Linked DNA regions of Arabidopsis thaliana. The protein of the gene in region 1 binds, or shares a complex with, the protein of each later gene. Each region holds a gene or a part of one and is shown on either strand. Other genes may lie near its edges.

Region 1 (6,327 bases):
CAGGAAGAATCAGGGACAAAAGATTGGGAGCCTTTGAGCAGCACACAACAGGCTTTGGGTCGAGGATGATGGCGAGAATGGGTTTCGTCGAAGGCTCGGGTCTGGGTAGAGAGTCACAAGGCATAGTCAATCCGCTGGTCGCTGTCAGACGTCCTAGAGCACGTGGAATAGGTGCTGAAGGCTAAACATTGAAGTATTTAACGGTCAATGTTTGAACAAGAACAGTAAGATATCGTTTTTAAGTATGTTCATCTTCAATCTTCAACATGTGGCCTTTGTTCAATTTATGTTTAAGACTTGGGAGCAGCTTTGTTGTTATCTTGACATCAATGTTGTTGACATAATAAAGCATCCTTTCTTTTGGCTTCTTTAACCACCATTGATGCAAAAAAAAATACATCCTCGGCTCCAAGATTCTATAAAAGAAAGTACCGATCTTAGAGCATTAACATTGATATGCGGAAATTGCTGATAAGTGGGAACATTTGTGATACTTACCACTTATAAAGCAATTACTTATCACTTGCAATCTTTTTAACTTACTTTATAATCCTTTATTTTTTCCATTTGTAATGAACGACCAAACAAGTATTGAAACGAAAATTAAGAACATTGATTAAAACCCAAACACAAGAGATTCGGATAACTTAAAAACACGAGGAAAGAATCAGTATCACTTTCCCCAGTAATCCAAAAGTAGAGAATTCGAGTTTTAAAACTTAAAAAAAAAAAGGATAAAGAAGTTATCACTAATTGTAGAGATCATCATCGTCCCCAGCAGCGGCTGCAGACGTGGCAAACGGATCTGCGACTCCAGTGGTGGCACCTGAACCAGCAGAATTCTCGAACCTGAACTCAGAACCGAACCCTCTAGACTGCTGCAACGTCTGAGCAAAGGCTTGGTACTTCCTGATGTCTGCATCACTCACACTCCTACGCGCATACTTCATCGACTCCTCAAAGTGTGCAGCTTTGATCTCTGATACTTCATCCACTCCATCTTCCTCCATTGCCTCTGGGTTCTCGCTCCTCCTCTTCTCCTTTTCAATGTCCTGAAACAAAAAAAAAACATGAGCTTCAGTTCAACGATTGGAGAGTATAACAATCTTTGGATAAAGAGCTTGGCGATGGGATCTCTAACCTTCTCAATGTTTTCTCTGATGGCGTACTTGCAAGCTCTCTGGCAAATCTCAGTGATATCAGCACCACTGAAACCCTGAGTGTATTTAGCAAGTGCACCGATGTCTACATCTTTAGCAATAGGAGATTTCCTCAAGGCGGCCTTGAAGATATTGAGACGGGAATCCTCATCTGGTAGTGGAATGTAAATGAGCTGGTCAAGCCTTCCAGGACGGAGAAGAGCTGAATCGATAATGTCAGGTCTGTTGGTAGCTCCGATGATGAAGACGGTTTTCTTGGCATTCATTCCGTCCATCTCAGTCAAAAGCTGGTTCAAGACTCTGTCCGCAGCACCACCTCCATCGCCACCACTTCCACCTCCTCTCTGAGTTGCAATGGAGTCGAGCTCATCAAAGAAAAGAACACATGGAGCGGATTGACGGGCCTTGTCGAAGATTTCACGAACATTTGCTTCACTCTCTCCAAACCACATTGTCAGAAGCTCGGGACCCTTGACACTGATGAAATTAGCTTGGCACTCGTTGGCAATAGCTTTGGCCAAAAGGGTTTTCCCACATCCAGGAGGACCGTAGAAAAGGACTCCCTTTGATGGAGACATCCCGAATTTCTCAAACTTCTCTGGGTGCTCGACTGGGTATTGAACAGTCTGCATTTGAACAATCACACGGCTCAGGTTACAAATTACAATTAATAGACAGACCCAAGCAAAAGTAAATATTAGCAATTTACCTCCTGGAGCTCTCTCTTGACATTCTCAAGACCTCCAATATCATTCCAAGAGACGTTGGGAACCTCCACAACCTGCAAAGCAAAGAAGAAAATTTGGAATGAGATTTACGCAAAGATACAATCTTTGATCTCGTTCTAAGCAGAGTACTGTCAATACTCACAGTTTCACGAAGTGCAGATGGGTTGCTGTTCCCGAGAGCAGTGTGGAAATGTTCATTAGTGACTGCCATGGAATTGAGGATTTCAGCGTCTATGGAGTCATCTTCCAGATCAATCACATCCATCTTCTCCCTGATGCATTGCAGGGCGGCCTCTGTGCACAAAGCTGCAAGATCAGCACCGACGTAACCGTGTGTGTCCTTTGAGATCCTTTCGAGATCCACCTGGAAAACAACCACAAGAAGAATTTAGCATTCAATAAACATTACACTCAACAAACACAGAAAAAGCTATGACTAGAAAATTACATCTTCAGCCAGCTTCATGTTCTTTGTATGGATCCTCAGAACTTCAAGACGTCCAATTTCGTCAGGAACTCCAATATCGATCTCCCTGTCAAATCTTCCAAACCTTCTCAAAGCTGGGTCGATACTGTTGGGGCGATTGGTTGCTCCCATGACGATAACATGAGCACGAGATTTCAGTCCATCCATTAGCGTAAGGAGCTGAGAGACAATCCTCCTCTCAACCTCTCCATTAGTCTTCTCTCTTTTCGGTGCAATAGAGTCGATCTCATCAATGAATATGATTGAAGGCGCATTTTTCTCAGCCTCCTCGAATGCTTTCCTGAGGTTGCTCTCACTCTCACCAGCCAATTTGGACATGATCTCAGGTCCGTTGATACAGAAGAAAAAGGCACCCGTTTCATTAGCCACAGCACGAGCGATCAAAGTCTTTCCAGACCCAGGTGGTCCATAAAGAAGAATTCCCTTCGGTGGCTTAACACCAATCGACTTGAATAGCTGTGGATGCCTCAAGGGAAGTTCAACAAGTTCCCTAATCTGAGCCATCTGTTTCCTGACACCACCAACATCATCATAACCTACATCATCTAGCCTTTCTTCATCCTCTCTCTTCACAGGCTCACCCTCACAGAAAATCTCTGTGTCTGGAGCAACCACGCAGTACTCAGCAGGATCTGTCTCTATAACTTTGAACTCCACACTCCTCATTCCTCCTCTGACTAGGAAGAGATCACCCTTCCTCACTGGACGGTATGCCTCAAGGAAATAAGCTGTTGAAAAGAATTCAATCTTTGTTAAGAAATCACTCTAATAATATCTCAAACCAAACAAGAACATCCAAAGAAAAATCAAAATTGCATAACTGGATAAGGATCTAAAACAAAAAGGCAACTTACGTTTCAGGTAAGCATCAAATAGGTTTCCAGTCACTCCTTCAACAGTATCATCAACAGGCAGGATGTGAACACGCTTTCCGTACTTGACGTCTGGGCATTGGTGAACAGATATAACATCTCCCAGTCTAACCCTCAAGTTAGATCTGACTACTTTATTCATTCTGATCTTTGGCTCCTCACATGTCTCATCAGCAAGAGCAATGCAGACAGTGTCCTTCCTCTTCTTACCCTGAAAGCCAAAATCCAAACCAAATAAGAACTCATAAAGACTACTAATACGAATCATTCACCAAGACAGGATCAGTACAAAAGCAAGTCTTTTTATTTTGTATAATACCTAAGATCATAAATCACTTGTTTCAAAAGACCACAAACCCTAGTTTATGTAGAACCACATAAGAATCCATTAATCAAGCAAGGAGAAAAAACCCTAAATTATGTCTCTTCATAGAGACAGAAACCAACCATTCAATATCTCAATCAAAAGAGAATCCAAACAAACAAAAGCAAACCCAAACCTTGATGAGAATGGTATCACCACGGAAGAGCTGAAGCTTCTCCATGGTTGCAGGGTGAAGAGAGACGACGGAGTTATCATCGTTGATAGCCTCATCGACGACGAGACGGTTCGGAGACTTCTTCCTCTCGAGAATAGCAGTACTGAAATCTTTCTTCGATTTCCTGTAACAACAACAAAGAAGATTAAGATTCAACTATAGAAACACAAGATCAACCAAAACCCTAATCCCCAAAATCGAAAAACCCAGACTTTAAGAAGATCCGAAAAAAATCCCGATCGGAAAACCAAAATCAGAGATCTGGGTACTTACGAGTCTGAAGATTCAGCTGGGGTAGACATGATTGAGTTTGAGATTAACGAAAGAGTTCCCTGAGAAATCGAAGAAAGTTGAGAGCTTTTTCTTCTTCTTTGGTTTCTTCTCTGAGAGAGAGAGAGAGATGGATTTGTGATAATGGGATCTGAAAGAGCACAGATTTTCTCTAATTATATCTCTCTACGTTTCTTGTTGGAAAAGAGAGCTCTTTTTTTTTCCTTTATTCTTATTTTCCTTTTTGTTTCTTATCTTCTAGTAATATCAAACCGACCCCTATTGTTTTACTTTTCCCAAATATTCACCCTATTTATGTTATGTGATTAGAATTCTAGAAACTTCTTTTTCGTTCAATTTTTTCCTCCATTCCACAAGCAATATCAATTTCCTACCTATCGACTAATATTCTTTTTCCAACTACTTCTCCCAAATTTCAGTAGTCCTCCAGACCTTAAAGCCCATAATTATTTTCATTTTATTTATGTTTGTGATTTACTTATGGTAATTAATAGGAACTCTTAACACATTACCACAAATATACACTTAAGCACGAGTAGATTGATCAGCTTTGGAACAAAACTCTGATAAGCCGTTCTTGCTTAATATACATATCTTACTAATTTAGCTGTGGTTACTATTCATAAGTTCATACAAAAATCATATTTCATCATTTTAGAATCTTTCACAAATCTTCATATATAATTATCTTTATGTATGTATATGAGCTTCATCTTGATCTCGCTAGAATCTTCAACCTTCGGAATCTCCATGAAACCTTTCTTGACTCTTTTTTTTGCTGTAAGAAGAGGTTGAATTCTATAAGCAGTCAACAAGCTCTTATTGTCTTTGGATTCCATAACTTGCCAAACCAACCTCCTTCACCGCCACCACCATTGTTCTTTCCTCTCGCGTCTCTCGAAGCTTTTACACTGTTCAGCGGAACTAGCTGTGGGCTGCCATTTCCTGAAGAAGCTTCCACAATTTTGTTCACCATCTCTAAAACCTCACTCATCTTGGGACGTGCCTTTGAGTTCCTAACCAAACATCTGTTGGCCACAACTGCTAGCTTTTGAACCGATTTGATCGGGTACTTCCCTTCCAGCCTTGGATCTAATATGAGCTTGAACTTCCTTGTGTCAGATAAATAAGGTCTCACCCATTCTAGAAGCTTCTGCTCTCCCTTGGGTCTGTTTCTGTCCACCGGTCGCCTCCCAGTGATAAGCTCATAGAGGAAGACTCCATAACCCCACACATCGCTTTTCGATGTGAGACGGCCGGTTTGAATGTATTCAGGTGCTGCATAACCCATTGTACCTACAACCTAATAAAGCCAAAGAAACCCGTTCAAAAACATACCTGTTTTTCAATCTTGCAACCAAAAGAAGTGAATGCAGAACTTACATCAGTAGAAACATGGGTTAATCCTTCAGATGGACCTAAACGAGCCAAACCGAAATCTGAGAGCTTTGCTTTCCAGTCCTCATCCAAAAGAATGTTCGAGGACTTGAAATCGCGGAATATTATCTGAAAAGCCAATAAATAAAAGTTAGTCAAGAGAGTGAAATGAGATCAGTAACGTAGCAGAGTCATCATATTACCTGAAACTCCATTTCTTCATGCAGGTATGTTAATCCGCGAGCTGCATCTTGGGCGATTCTCAGTCTGAGGTCCCAAGTAAGAACTGTGAGTGACCGAGGGGATAAGTGGAATTCAACACTTCGGTTAGGCATGTATTCATAAACCAAAAGCCGTTGGATTCCACGTTCATCATCTTCTGCACAATAGCCAAGCAATTTCACCAAGTTTGTATGCTCAACTATTCCGAGGAAGTTCACTTCCGTAACCCATTCCTTATGCCCCTGCAACATCCAAGAAATGAGATAATAGTGTTAAACCAGTGGATGAGTAACAGATCTTGAGAACAAGATTGGAAAAAACAGACATACCTGCAACCCTCTTTTACCGAGCTGCTTCACTGCGACTTCGATTTTAACTGACGAGTCCTCTAAGTTCCTCACTGTGCCCCTGAAGACACAACCGAAACCGCCTTCTCCAATCATAACAGATCGGCTAAAGTTCTTTGTTGCAGACTTGAGATCAGTAATGCTGAACTCTCTGAGATTACTTGCTCTAGTAGACACCGGAGGGTACGAGTTCTTCCTCCCCATGGATGATTCTGTGCTCGTCCCAGAGACATCACGAGAGTTGAACTCTGACCCGCTTCGGTTTATTTCGCGGTCAGAGAAGATAGAGGTCAATGAAACCGAA
Region 2 (4,304 bases), 2.5 Mb from region 1:
TGCCTGGATCTTCCACCAAGCTTGTTTTTTTTTGTCTTGTGCTCTGTTTCTTGTGTCTACAAGTTGTTACAAGAGAATTATCTTTCTGTTCCTTATATATGTATATATGTATCTCCAGATAATCGCCCTTAGAAGGGCAAAGAGGAGGAACATGGAACGTTTGGTTTTGGCATGTGGTGGAGAAGCTGTGAACTCTGTCGATGACTTGACCCCTGATTGTCTTGGTTGGGCTGGACTTGTATATGAGCACGTTCTTGGAGAGGAGAAGTACACATTTGTTGAGCAAGTGAAGAATCCTCATTCATGTACTATCCTCATAAAAGGTACAAATGCCCAAACTTCTATCTCTTGCCAGCTAAGTTTTGAAGATCAATTTTGCTTATCTTCATATGTGTGGTCATTGATTATCTATGATTATGATTTGGTTTTCTTTATAGGGCCTAATGACCACACTATTGCTCAAATTAAGGACGCTGTCCGTGATGGTTTAAGATCAGTTAAGAATACCCTAGAAGATGAGTGTGTCGTATTAGTAAGTACCTTCTTCTCCACAAAGATCAAATCCATTGCTATATCAGTGTGATTGTTTTGGTTTTGGGCGCATGTGGTTTATTGACATCTGTTTCTTTCTGTAGGGAGCTGGAGCTTTTGAAGTTGCAGCAAGACAACACTTAATCAATGAAGTCAAGAAAACCGTTCAAGGGGTGAGTAGAAAGCAATATTCCTTTGCTCCAATACCAATTCTTGTTTTTTTCCGGTTGCTAATGTAAATTGTGGGCAAATTGCAGCGCGCTCAACTCGGTGTTGAAGCTTTTGCTAATGCCCTTCTCGTAGTGCCTAAGACGCTTGCTGAAAATGCTGGGCTTGACACTCAAGACGTTATCATTTCTCTAACGGTATTATTCTTGTATTTTCCTCTTCTGCCACTATCGATTATGCTCCAAGTAAAATTATGTTTGTGTTTATCTACTGAGTTTCGATGTATATACAGAGTGAGCATGACAAAGGAAACATCGTGGGACTAGACCTACAGGATGGAGAACCCGTCGACCCTCAGCTTGCCGGCATTTTCGACAATTACTCGGTGAAACGCCAACTTATCAATTCAGGGTATGTGCAGAACCAAATGGAAATTTGTATAATGGAGTCTTTTAATTCAGTTGCGGTTGAGTTCAGGTTGTTAAAACGGTTGTTTGGTATTGTATTGCAGGCCGGTGATTGCTTCGCAGTTGCTATTAGTGGATGAAGTGATTCGTGCAGGAAGAAATATGAGGAAGCCTACTTAAAACAAGACTATCTTTTGTTTTCAATTTTTTCTTACTTTCCCTTTCGTGTTTTGAGTATTAGCATATGAATACTATTTATTTTTTACTCGTTATCCTTTGTTGTCTTAGATAATTTTGAATGTATCTTTTTTTTCTATCTTTTGTATCAAACAAACATGATGAATGTTTTGATTGTGGTTTCTAGCGAAAACAGAACAAGATAAAGATTTCAGAATTTTAAGAAAATGGAACCAGATTTATGTGTAAACAAACGCAATTAAAAGTCAAATCAACAACAATGCACGGCATACTTTAATTGATTTTTATTTTTCTAGTAACGGAGTCAAGGCCCAATTAAATTATTTATTTTCCACGATCATTAAAGTCTTTAACGGGTCAACACCGTTAGACACTTGTCATACTATTACTGGGCCTTATTTTTCTCTTTACTTTCTCTGAAAATCAAAGCCCATCTCTTCTTCCTTTTTTTTCCCCTAATTTCTCACTTCCCCCTCATTTCGCGTCTCGACCTTCGAATTCGACAAATCCCTAATTCCAAAATCCTCTCGGTAAGCTACGGATCTAGTCTCTCTTTTGCTCATAGTTCGACGAAATCGTCTCTCTGTTGCTCGTTCATGTTTTCGTTTCGTTTTGTGGACTTAATCTTCTCTGTGTTCGTTGTTATCTGGAGATCTGGCAAAATCTCGAATGATTTTGATAGATTCTAGGTTTCTAGGTGTATCTATCGGTATAGTGTTCGTTTTGTCTTGATTTGTTGGTCTCGACGATTTATCTGTTGTTTCTTTTGTTTTGTTGGGAATAATGTTGATATAGCCAAGCTACTGTGATGTTGATGAAGTTTGAAATGAATTTTTGAAAACAGGATCTAAAAGAGTGTGTGATAACATAAGATGTCGTCTTCTCGGGAAGAGAATGTGTACTTAGCCAAGTTAGCTGAGCAAGCTGAACGTTATGAGGAAATGGTTGAGTTCATGGAGAAAGTTGCAAAGACTGTTGACACCGATGAGCTTACTGTCGAAGAGAGAAACCTCTTGTCTGTTGCTTACAAGAACGTCATTGGTGCTAGGAGAGCTTCCTGGAGGATCATATCTTCCATTGAACAGAAGGAAGAAAGCAGAGGAAACGATGATCATGTTTCCATTATCAAGGACTACAGAGGAAAGATCGAAACTGAACTCAGCAAAATCTGTGATGGAATACTCAATCTTCTGGATTCTCACCTTGTTCCCACTGCATCTTTGGCCGAGTCCAAAGTCTTTTACCTCAAAATGAAAGGAGATTACCACAGGTACCTTGCTGAGTTTAAGACTGGAGCTGAGAGGAAAGAAGCTGCTGAGAGCACTCTGGTTGCTTACAAGTCAGCTCAGGTAAACTCTTTAAGTTTCAACATCTATCTATCTTATTTTGCTGCTTGAGACCAGTAAAGGAGCTGTCATGATGAATGCTTATGTGTGTTTTTCTTCTAATGTAGGATATTGCACTTGCTGATTTAGCTCCTACTCATCCGATTAGACTGGGACTTGCTCTTAACTTCTCTGTCTTCTACTACGAGATTCTCAACTCACCTGATCGTGCCTGCAGTCTCGCAAAACAGGTTTGTATTTTGTCATACGGGATGTTATGATGCTTCCAGACTTTGTAACACTTATTCCAGCACCAAATTGCTTAATGATATTCTCTCAATTGTTTTGACAGGCTTTTGATGAGGCCATTTCTGAGCTGGATACATTAGGAGAAGAATCATACAAAGACAGTACGTTGATAATGCAACTTCTCCGTGACAATCTGACCCTTTGGAACTCTGACATCAATGTACACCTTTGTCTTCCTCCTTTTGCTTTTCCCTATAAACTCTTATATATGCAGTCTAAGCTTCTTTTACTCAGAAATTTCTCTCAAACGCTGATTGTGTTGCTGATTTTTAGGATGAGGCGGGCGGTGATGAGATCAAGGAGGCGTCAAAACATGAGCCGGAAGAGGGGAAACCAGCTGAGACAGGGCAGTGACCAGAGAGAGAGGGAGAGACATTTCTAAGTATGTATGGTATGGATTTTCCAAAAACATATGATATGATTAGGGGATTTGTAGAAGCAGAGAGAAAGATCTTTATTTGATTTTCTCCAAAAATCTCTGTTCCCTTTTTTTTTTATTGGGTTATTAAAGCTGTTTGAGTCTTTGGTTCCTGCTTCGTTGCTTGTTAGTATTTAGGAAGTGAAGAAACAAAACTTTGAATTATTGCTTTCCATTCAACTCGTCATAAATTATCATAATCAGTGTATTATTTACTTAGTTCTTATTAGGGTATTCTGATTTTTGCTTAACGCAACAGAATTTGTGTTAACCCATTTTTAAAGAATCTTCAATCTTGTATCATTGGTCGGGTCAGTCGGATATATGGTCCGCTTTTGGTTTAAGACCGGAACAACGAAAGCCGGGGATATTGAGCCTTTCTGATGATGCGCCTCCGGGCGGTAATGCTATTGGGACATGGATTACATTCTGATCAATAGGGACTAATAGTATGGATTTACTTTGTACTTCAGACTAGGGTTTTTTTTTTTTTTTTTTTTTTTTTTTTTTTAAATATTATTAATCCTCATCCCAAATGACCTTGGGCCGCAACAAAAACAACATCAAATCCAGTTACAAAATTAGCAAATCGGAAAACATGTCGGCAAAGAAGGAAGATCGCCGCTTGTTGATGGAAGCTAGCAGAGAGACCGGAGCATTAGATCCGGCGGGCTCAAGCCCTACAGTTTCGAGGCCGCAACCGATGCTCGAGAAACTCCGACGAAAGAGACCGGTTTTCGTCCTCGAATCAACCCCACCGGCGCACCAACCCACCACAAGACTCCCAGAAAGCTAGTCTCCCCAACAAGCACATCGACGGCACCGGATTCTGAAGAAGCAATCCGATACACTGGACGGTAACCCTTCCTTCCCAAACCGGTACAGATCCGAAATCCCAGAGCTATTGCGTTTCAACCGGCTCGATGGATGCAAAATTGTGACAAATCT
Region 3 (7,612 bases), on another chromosome or scaffold:
ATTTTTGGGCCCGCTTTGTTTTCAATTTCAAATCTTTTTGGGGTTCTGTTTTTCTTAATTTGTTTTAGTACGATGCAAAAGGTTGAACAACAACTCCAATTTTTAAAACGGAAGTTAAACTAAAATTTATTGAGTCAAAACTCAGATTAGGTAGTAAGATTACTTGAGGAAAGAATCCCAAAATCTCTTGAAATTCTTGACTGTTGACTATTTTGGTTCATTCCATATATATCAGTCAAAATTGTATACGTGTTCATTCCGAAAATAGGCAGATTTTTATTACAAAATCTGTGATTTTCTTTCTACTTCTAACCGAACAACAGTCAAAATAGTATTATTTTGGTGCCTGCGTACACATCGTAAAAAGAACAAAACTGAAATAGCTGGAACAAAACTGAACCGAAACTCTAGAATAACCGTATTGATACTAAAATCAAAAACCAAAATCGAAATCCAAAAGTACCAATGAATACTCAGAATTACGGACTCCATAGTCCATACTAAACTGATAAGTTGTATTGTCTGATGAAATTCATTCTCACCAAAGAATAAAATACGAAACAGAAACTTTAACTGATAATATTATTAATTATATAAGTAAAGATAATGAAACCAATGTCGCTCACCAAGACGATCCATCCTAAATCTCTGCATCTGAGGTTTTTTTGTCTCTCTTATACCCTAACAAAAATACTAATACATAAAAAGATGGTACACAAAAGAAAGACACTTCCCAAATATCTTAAAAGATGTTTCCTAACATTACAGGGAAGTATCGAAATCTAAGTAAATAATGGAGGTGTTGTCCTTTGTACGCATCGCTCTAGCTTCATTCAGCAGACCGTTTGCTATCTTCTCCGCACTACTCTCTCTCCCTCTCTCTTTATCTCTCATCTGCCATAACATAAACATTACATGAGATCGACGTTTTCAGACATAGCAAATGTCTCAACGAGTAGAAATTGATTTTACCTGAAGTACAAGCTGCACAGCTTTCTTCGGACTTACCACGTCCCATAACCCGTCACTGCAGTATTCGGATTTCAAAAATTAGCGAGCAAGAATCAGAAAACGGGAAAAAGCTTATTATGTTTATGTTTATGTTTTTTTACCTAGCCAATACAGCAAATACGTCTTTACTAGATTGATCGATACGCAAAGGCTCACTTATATATGGCTCTGCACTGAAACGGCTGTCTTGTTGCTTTGGAAACTTGTCTCCAAGCATCCTCGCAAGGTTTATACCTGAAGAAAATTATCACATCAGATTTGGTCATTTTGTTACAAAGAAGTTGCAATCACCTGAGCGTGTTTAATTCATTGAGCTAATACCAAAAAGCCGAGTCTCTCCATCTCTCAAGGCTAGTCCTGCTTCTTGGAATCGTTTTCTCTCGCTCAAGCTAACCACTCGATGATCTTCAGTCATTTGTATATATCTGCCACCAAGACTGCCAAATGCAAACCAAATCGTAATCAGTTAAGAAAGTCGAAGTTACTATTATAATGCCGAGACCATTAATTCCTAAGAGCAAAACAACTATCAGAATTTTTTATTATTAATTAAGATCCGTATCAAGGAAGATGTAGGGATAAACTCTCTTTCTATTTCCACAAAGCAAAGCAACGACATTCAAATATTCTTTTTCTTATCCAAAAAAATTCTACTCCGACGTGAAACAATCTCATCTATTGATGTCTATTTACTCTACTATAAAGCCTATATTAGTAATCATCTACTGTTTCCAAACCAAGAGGTTTTCATTAAGAAGACCACACTCACTCACGCTTTAAACACGCAAGATCTTTGTTTCTAATCTGAGTAATCAAGTCCCCTCCCTCTTTCTACACCAAGAAATGCTGCTACAAGTCTGGTTAATGCAAGCTCAGCAACTACGAATCTCAAGAATAGCAATATAATATTTTTTACGTACTGGATAACACATGCTGAATCCCCAAGATTGGCACATTGTGCGAAGAAGTTTTCTTCATTGTCTTTCCAAACCAAGAGAACAGTAGCTGTACAACCCTGCATCGATCAACTAATTCATTAAGTAGGAAGCAATGAAAAAGTTCCAGCCAAGTCGTCAAGAAGGCAAACATGCCATCAAAGGAAAAGAAAAGGACAAACTGAAATACCTCATATTGGTGTTCTTCGAGGCGAGCTTCTGTTTTAGCAAACATGTCCCTAAGGACGTCCGAAGCATCCCTTTTTGATAACACTTTCTCCTTCCTCAGCGAGTCTGATAAAATATTCGCTAGAACCTCCGGAATAATTCTGGAGAAGAAGTTTAATTAGCTTATATATTCAAGTATATAATTGCCGTTGTTGGAGACACAAGTAAATCAAAGATGCTCCAGTAGTTAGTGAAGGCTCCTAACATATAATGACTAAGCCCATTTACAAAAATGAACAGAACAAAGTTTCATATATTTGTTCCCGGCTGTAACCACGCCTGCCCTAACTGTAACACATTTGCATGGCTAATCACATGCAGCTAAAAATTTTAAACTACATAAGAAGTTGATTAATAAATGAAGCAAAAACAATAAAGAAAAACTCAGAAAGGCGGATGCTGTTAGAAGTTTAAACACAGCCAAAACCGCAGCCTTTTTCAGGTTAGGACATTTCGTAGGTTAAGCATACAAAGAAAACCCAAAATAAGACCTATCGAGGAGGATTTTATAAAAGAAATAGTTAATAGAGGTGATTTGGATTTTTTTAAGAAAGACTCACTTGATTGCGGATTGAGCAGCCCCTGATCCCCCATGTCCATCACAAACACAAAACAGTCCAAACTGAAACCATATACATTTGGAATTATGTTATCAAAAGCAGCGAAGCCCATCATCATACATACAACTCAAATCACTAATCAAGGTAACCTTATTAGCCCCAGGAAGCGGCCACTTGTAATGACAAACATCTTCCATCGGAAGTTTCCTGCCTCCTCGACGCATAGCCATGGGATCTGAGGCCACACCAATTTTGAAGGGTATCTGAAACTCATTCTGAGAGGAGATACGGACCTTCCAAAGATGAAAAGAAATTGCATGAAATTAACAAGGGAAACAAAAAAAATTACCAGCAAGCACCTTCACCACTCAGATTGACTTACATAGACCTTTGTTGTTGTTCCCAAAGTTATTATATCATCACTTGCAAGCTCGACAGGGTTACCCCACTTCCGGCTGCCTAAATCAGGATGACTTATTGAATGAGAGTTTACGAGAGTTCCATTTAGGCTACCCATATCTACCAGCTCCCATTTAAATTTCTGAAATCAAAACCAGGCAGGTGTGACGCACAGTGTAAGAAGTGGCATGCAGAAGTCGTATAAATAAATCTACATAGCTCCTTACAGTAGAGTTCCATGTTATCTGTGCATGTTTCCCAGAGACTTCTGAGTCCTTCAATGCCAAATCAGAAGGAGAAACCCTTCCAAGTTTCACTGGCAGCTTGGAGGAACTTGTGGAGTTCACAGCATGTTGAAGCCCAATGGCAGGACCCGCGATGACTTCCAGGAACAGCCAACTTCCTGCACTTCTAACACAAAATATGATATATGTCTTGCACAAGTAATTCAAAAAATGGATTGAAGTTGTATTACACACCCTAGGCAAGCAAAAGAATAAGAAATTACTTTGATCTTCCACGAGCCTCGGAGAAAGATTAATAAGTCGATCCTTTTCCAGATTATATTGCAAGTTTTCATTTCTGTTATTCTGCCAGTCATATGTTTGCACTTCTGCCAAGGAACCTTTTTCAGCTGGAAGTTTAAGCGTTTGGCCCACCAAAGCATTGTCAGAAGGTTCAGAAATTACTTCTAGAACAAAGCTTTCACCTACATAAGTTAGGGCAGATTGGTAAGGTCAAGAATGAGTGATGCATAGAGTTCATAATGCAAAGAGGATGTTTCTGATACAACTGTATCATTTCCATCACGCTAATGATCTAGAGTCAATCCAACTTGTCTACCAGAGCTGGACATAGCAGGGGAGGAAAGAGGCAATGAGTACCTTGGGAGAAATGGGGAGATGACGAAGGAAGCCTTTGTTTGTAAAACCGTCCCTCAGTCAGAGATGAATGCAAAAGTCCATCATTTTGGTAGCAAGCTCCCTCTAAATCATATTCCCTTGTTACCTCACTGGTTTGTCCTTGGATCAAATTTCCATCATCAGAAATAAGTGGTCTCTGCAAATCCCCCACCTGCAAACAATGGCGCTGAAAGAATTAGGGCTAGGAGCAAAAAAAAAGTTGCGTAAACTGGATACTCAATAGCTGAAAGATGAGAAACTCAATATTTCCCTATATGAAGAATGTAGTAATAATAAGGTGGATTTAGTTCTTATACAATTTTAGTATGTTATCCAAGTTATGGAGAAATTGCAAACAAATGAAATCTACAAGCGAAAAGACTAGATGGATGAGCTGTATCCTATTTCCAGTGAGAGTAAAACCGCCTATTAGATTAGTAAGGAGTAGAGTATAACAGAGCTAGGAAATGAATGAACAGCTGATTTCACCTTTTTCATTCATTTGTTACCATTTCTCCGGTAGAAAGACAAAAATACAAAAAAAACAAAACTCACAGAATTCCTACAAAAAGGTAACTAATGAGGAAGAAGTTCTCCCACGATAATTTCCCACACTGAAACTGAGTTCTTGGCAACATTCACATTGCCTAATATATAAGCACCAATGTCCAAATTCAGAAACAAATCGACAGTTTTCGCAAGCAAATTCACAAGAGTTCCCTACTTCCAATGTCTGTCTAAGTGCACATCAACAGTTTGAGCCGTTGAAAATGTCAATTAGCCATGGCTAGAGAAGAAGAAGAAAACATAGCACACAAAAGAAGCTGAAACGGCCATTACGCTTTATTCAAACAAAACCATTTTGTGCAAATCGAGCAGGCAGAGAAAATCCAGCCACACTCATTATAAACCAAACGAATCTATCAACTCTTGAGCTTCAAAAGAATCTAACAACAACAAAAGAATCCTAATTTTTCAACAGTGAGAAAACTCAACAACACATTATCATCTCCAAAAAGTCAATCAGATTATTTCAGAAACCAAACACACAATATATATCTCACCGCCCCCACGTCGACAAAATCAATCAACGAAATCGCCAAATAACCCCAACTACTATCGGAATCCACGAGAAAAGCATCATGATCCAGCGACGTAACACTTGTCACTGATGATCAAATCCTTTATCAATTGATCATTTCGCGAAAACAAACCATCCGACATAAAATCGAATCAAAAATCAAAAAACGAAGCCGTGGAACGAAGACTCTGAAAATTGAATAGAGAATGAGATAAGAGGAAGAGGAAGAAGAAACCTTGAAGGTAGAAGAAAAACGAGAGGAGGATCGGAAACGAGAAAAATATCGCCATGGCTTGCAGGCGAAAAGGATGATGAGGGAGATGAGAAGCAACATAAGAACCATGAATAGCCCAATAATGTTCATCCCTATCATCGCCATCGTCTTCGCTTCTCTCTCTCTCTCTCTCTCTCTGCACCCCTCCTCCTTCCAGATTGGTTCCCGAGAACCTCGCTTTGAATTTTTCTTACCTTCTCTGTTTTTTTTTTTTCTTTCTCTTATCGTATTTTCACTGTCTTTTTATTTTCACTGGTCGATAGACTCTAAGAGTACATTATCCCTAACGCTTTACATGATTGGCTAGGGTTGGATTAAGCTATATAATTATCACCTCCACGAGTTACTATTGGTTAATATGTGGATTACGCTATAGATTATGAGATTTTTTTTGTTTTTTACACTTGATTTATGGTTTTAATTTTTTGAAAAAAAACAAATTAAATAGATTAGAATTATCAAGAATCTTGTAAAGAAAAAGGTTATGTTTTTGAAGACTTAAGTGATATGTAGATATGATTCTAGAAATCTCATTGTTAATGAAAAGTTTTTCGATCGAGATGACTTATTTATGTTTAGATGTATTTCGAGTAACATCTAGAAAAATTGGTATAATATAGAGGTACAAAAATAACGATGGTAACGTTTTGGCATTGTTAATCTTACCGCCTTATGTATTTGGTAACAAAAAATATCCGATTATTTTTTATCATTGCAATATATGATTGCTAATCAAAAGCAGGAATTGGATAAGAGAAATAACAGTATACTTCTTACCATTGCGATATATGATTATTAATCAAAAGCTTACTGCTTTTTGTAGGGTAACAGAAATAACGGAATAGTACTTCTTACCGTTGTGATAAATGATTACTAATCAAAATAAATTAGTTAGCACAAAAAATAACAAAATGTAATCCCTAATGCAGTAAAATTTAAACATGAATGTATAATGCATTCTAATATACCAATCGTAAATATCAGTCTTGTGCTCTTCTCTTTTATGCAACAGACAAGCACACACACGCACACAAGTCATTTTCCTAAAATCTTGTAAAACATAGTAATCAAAAATGTCTATGTGAGTATAAAACATGTTACAGTTACCTTTATTCTTGAATCAGAGAGAACTTCCATTTTCTTTTGTTTTATCAACAAATGCAACTACTCCATTTTTAAAGTCCCATATGAATTTATAATACCAATATGCATACAATTATGCATACACGAGATGGAAATTACATAAATGATACTTACTAATCAACTTTCAATATATTATCCATTTGGTAACGTTTTTATTTTTTATTGACTATGCTTTAAATGTGGTAAACATATACGAATATATAATTTGGTAACATAATAATAGTCTTCATTCACTACCTTCTCAATTTTGTGTATTTAAGAACTCTCAATTTGTTTTTTGTTTTTTATGGTTGTTCAAAGACAACAATTGGTAAAGCATATATATAAGAAAATTTGTTGTTAGAATCTTTCAGTTGGTTAACAAAACGGCCGGTCAGACCTTTAAACAAGGTTCAAGAGACGATGCTATTGTCTACTTCTCAAGTCATGATTGCTCATCACAGAGGACACATAAATCGTAACTGAACCTTCTCTCTTTGATATATCAATTTAAATCTATATGGTTCTTGTCAATTTTGTGTTTAACACTCTTGTGAGTTTTTAACTTTTGTATGGCTAATGAGTTTTGTAATCTTTTTAATTTGATGTCGTTGTCCTTTTATCATAAACTATACAATTAGCCTAATGTCTAACGTTTGTTTTTAAAAAGACGATAGCTAGAATTTTGCAATTTTTCTTGTAACTTGTATCTAACTAATAATTCAGAAATTTTATCTTTAATTTGTTTAATAAAAATGATAAATTGCTTGCAGGTAGACATGTGGATTTGAGTGTACAAGGATCCATAGGGGTTGAAGAAGAGGAACGGTGGCTTAATGCGCGACAGATAGATACATATGGCGCATGCTTTGTTCGGGGGACGAGCTTGGATCTTAACTGGACTCCTCCAGACTTTGGAATTGTTAAGTGTAATGTGAATGCTCATTGGGGAAATGCTGACATGATGAGTGGGGTAGCTTGGATTGCTCGTGATGTTAATGGTTTGGCTCTATACCATGCAAGAGATGCTTTTACAAGGTCTTCAAATAGGATCATGGCCGAGTTGCGTTGTATCTTGTGGGTGGTTAAAAGCTTACGAG

What was found. Proteins that work in one complex are often made in the same cells at the same time.
Region 2: CDC48 (region 1) and GRF7 share a complex: the UniProt entries of both Arabidopsis thaliana proteins name them as parts of the SERK1 signaling complex.
Region 3: CDC48 (region 1) and KAPP share a complex: the UniProt entries of both Arabidopsis thaliana proteins name them as parts of the SERK1 signaling complex.

Annotation. Positions count from the first base shown.
Region 1 is NC_003074.8:3,017,255-3,023,581, reverse strand, and holds CDC48 (cell division cycle 48), read right to left. Parts: upstream 4,334-6,327; 5' UTR 4,089-4,333; coding exon 4,060-4,088; intron 3,911-4,059; coding exon 3,748-3,910; intron 3,459-3,747; coding exon 3,230-3,458; intron 3,104-3,229; coding exon 2,337-3,103; intron 2,253-2,336; coding exon 2,031-2,252; intron 1,942-2,030; coding exon 1,870-1,941; intron 1,787-1,869; coding exon 1,142-1,786; intron 1,053-1,141; coding exon 750-1,052; 3' UTR 530-749; downstream 1-529. Other genes in the region: AT3G09850 (D111/G-patch domain-containing protein), read left to right, coding at 1-185; AT3G09830 (Protein kinase superfamily protein), read right to left, coding at 4,886-5,380, 5,461-5,583, 5,658-5,918, 6,006-6,327. UniProt on the Arabidopsis thaliana protein: Probably functions in cell division and growth processes. Interacts with certain SNAREs as part of specialized membrane fusion events where vesicles from the same organelle fuse (homotypic fusion).
Region 2 is NC_003074.8:525,788-530,091, reverse strand, and holds GRF7 (general regulatory factor 7), read left to right. Parts: upstream 1-1,703; 5' UTR 1,704-1,834; exon of another isoform or gene 1,835-2,013; intron 2,014-2,148; 5' UTR 2,149-2,176; coding exon 2,177-2,653; intron 2,654-2,757; coding exon 2,758-2,880; intron 2,881-2,981; coding exon 2,982-3,098; intron 3,099-3,211; coding exon 3,212-3,292; 3' UTR 3,293-3,799; downstream 3,800-4,304. Other genes in the region: AT3G02530 (TCP-1/cpn60 chaperonin family protein), read left to right, coding at 119-323, 438-532, 636-704, 789-896, 992-1,110, 1,211-1,286. UniProt on the Arabidopsis thaliana protein: Is associated with a DNA binding complex that binds to the G box, a well-characterized cis-acting DNA regulatory element found in plant genes.
Region 3 is NC_003076.8:6,486,333-6,493,944, reverse strand, and holds KAPP (kinase associated protein phosphatase), read right to left. Parts: upstream 5,627-7,612; 5' UTR 5,496-5,626; coding exon 5,352-5,495; intron 4,208-5,351; coding exon 4,018-4,207; intron 3,843-4,017; coding exon 3,642-3,842; intron 3,537-3,641; coding exon 3,361-3,536; intron 3,276-3,360; coding exon 3,117-3,275; intron 3,028-3,116; coding exon 2,884-3,027; intron 2,797-2,883; coding exon 2,735-2,796; intron 2,276-2,734; coding exon 2,137-2,275; intron 2,027-2,136; coding exon 1,932-2,026; intron 1,811-1,931; coding exon 1,781-1,810; intron 1,449-1,780; coding exon 1,333-1,448; intron 1,246-1,332; coding exon 1,113-1,245; intron 1,028-1,112; coding exon 973-1,027; intron 895-972; coding exon 763-894; 3' UTR 506-762; downstream 1-505. Other genes in the region: AT5G19270 (reverse transcriptase-like protein), read left to right, coding at 6,936-6,990, 7,286-7,612. UniProt on the Arabidopsis thaliana protein: Dephosphorylates the Ser/Thr receptor-like kinase RLK5. May function as a signaling component in a pathway involving RLK5. Binds and dephosphorylates CLAVATA1 (CLV1). Functions as a negative regulator of the CLV1 signaling in plant development.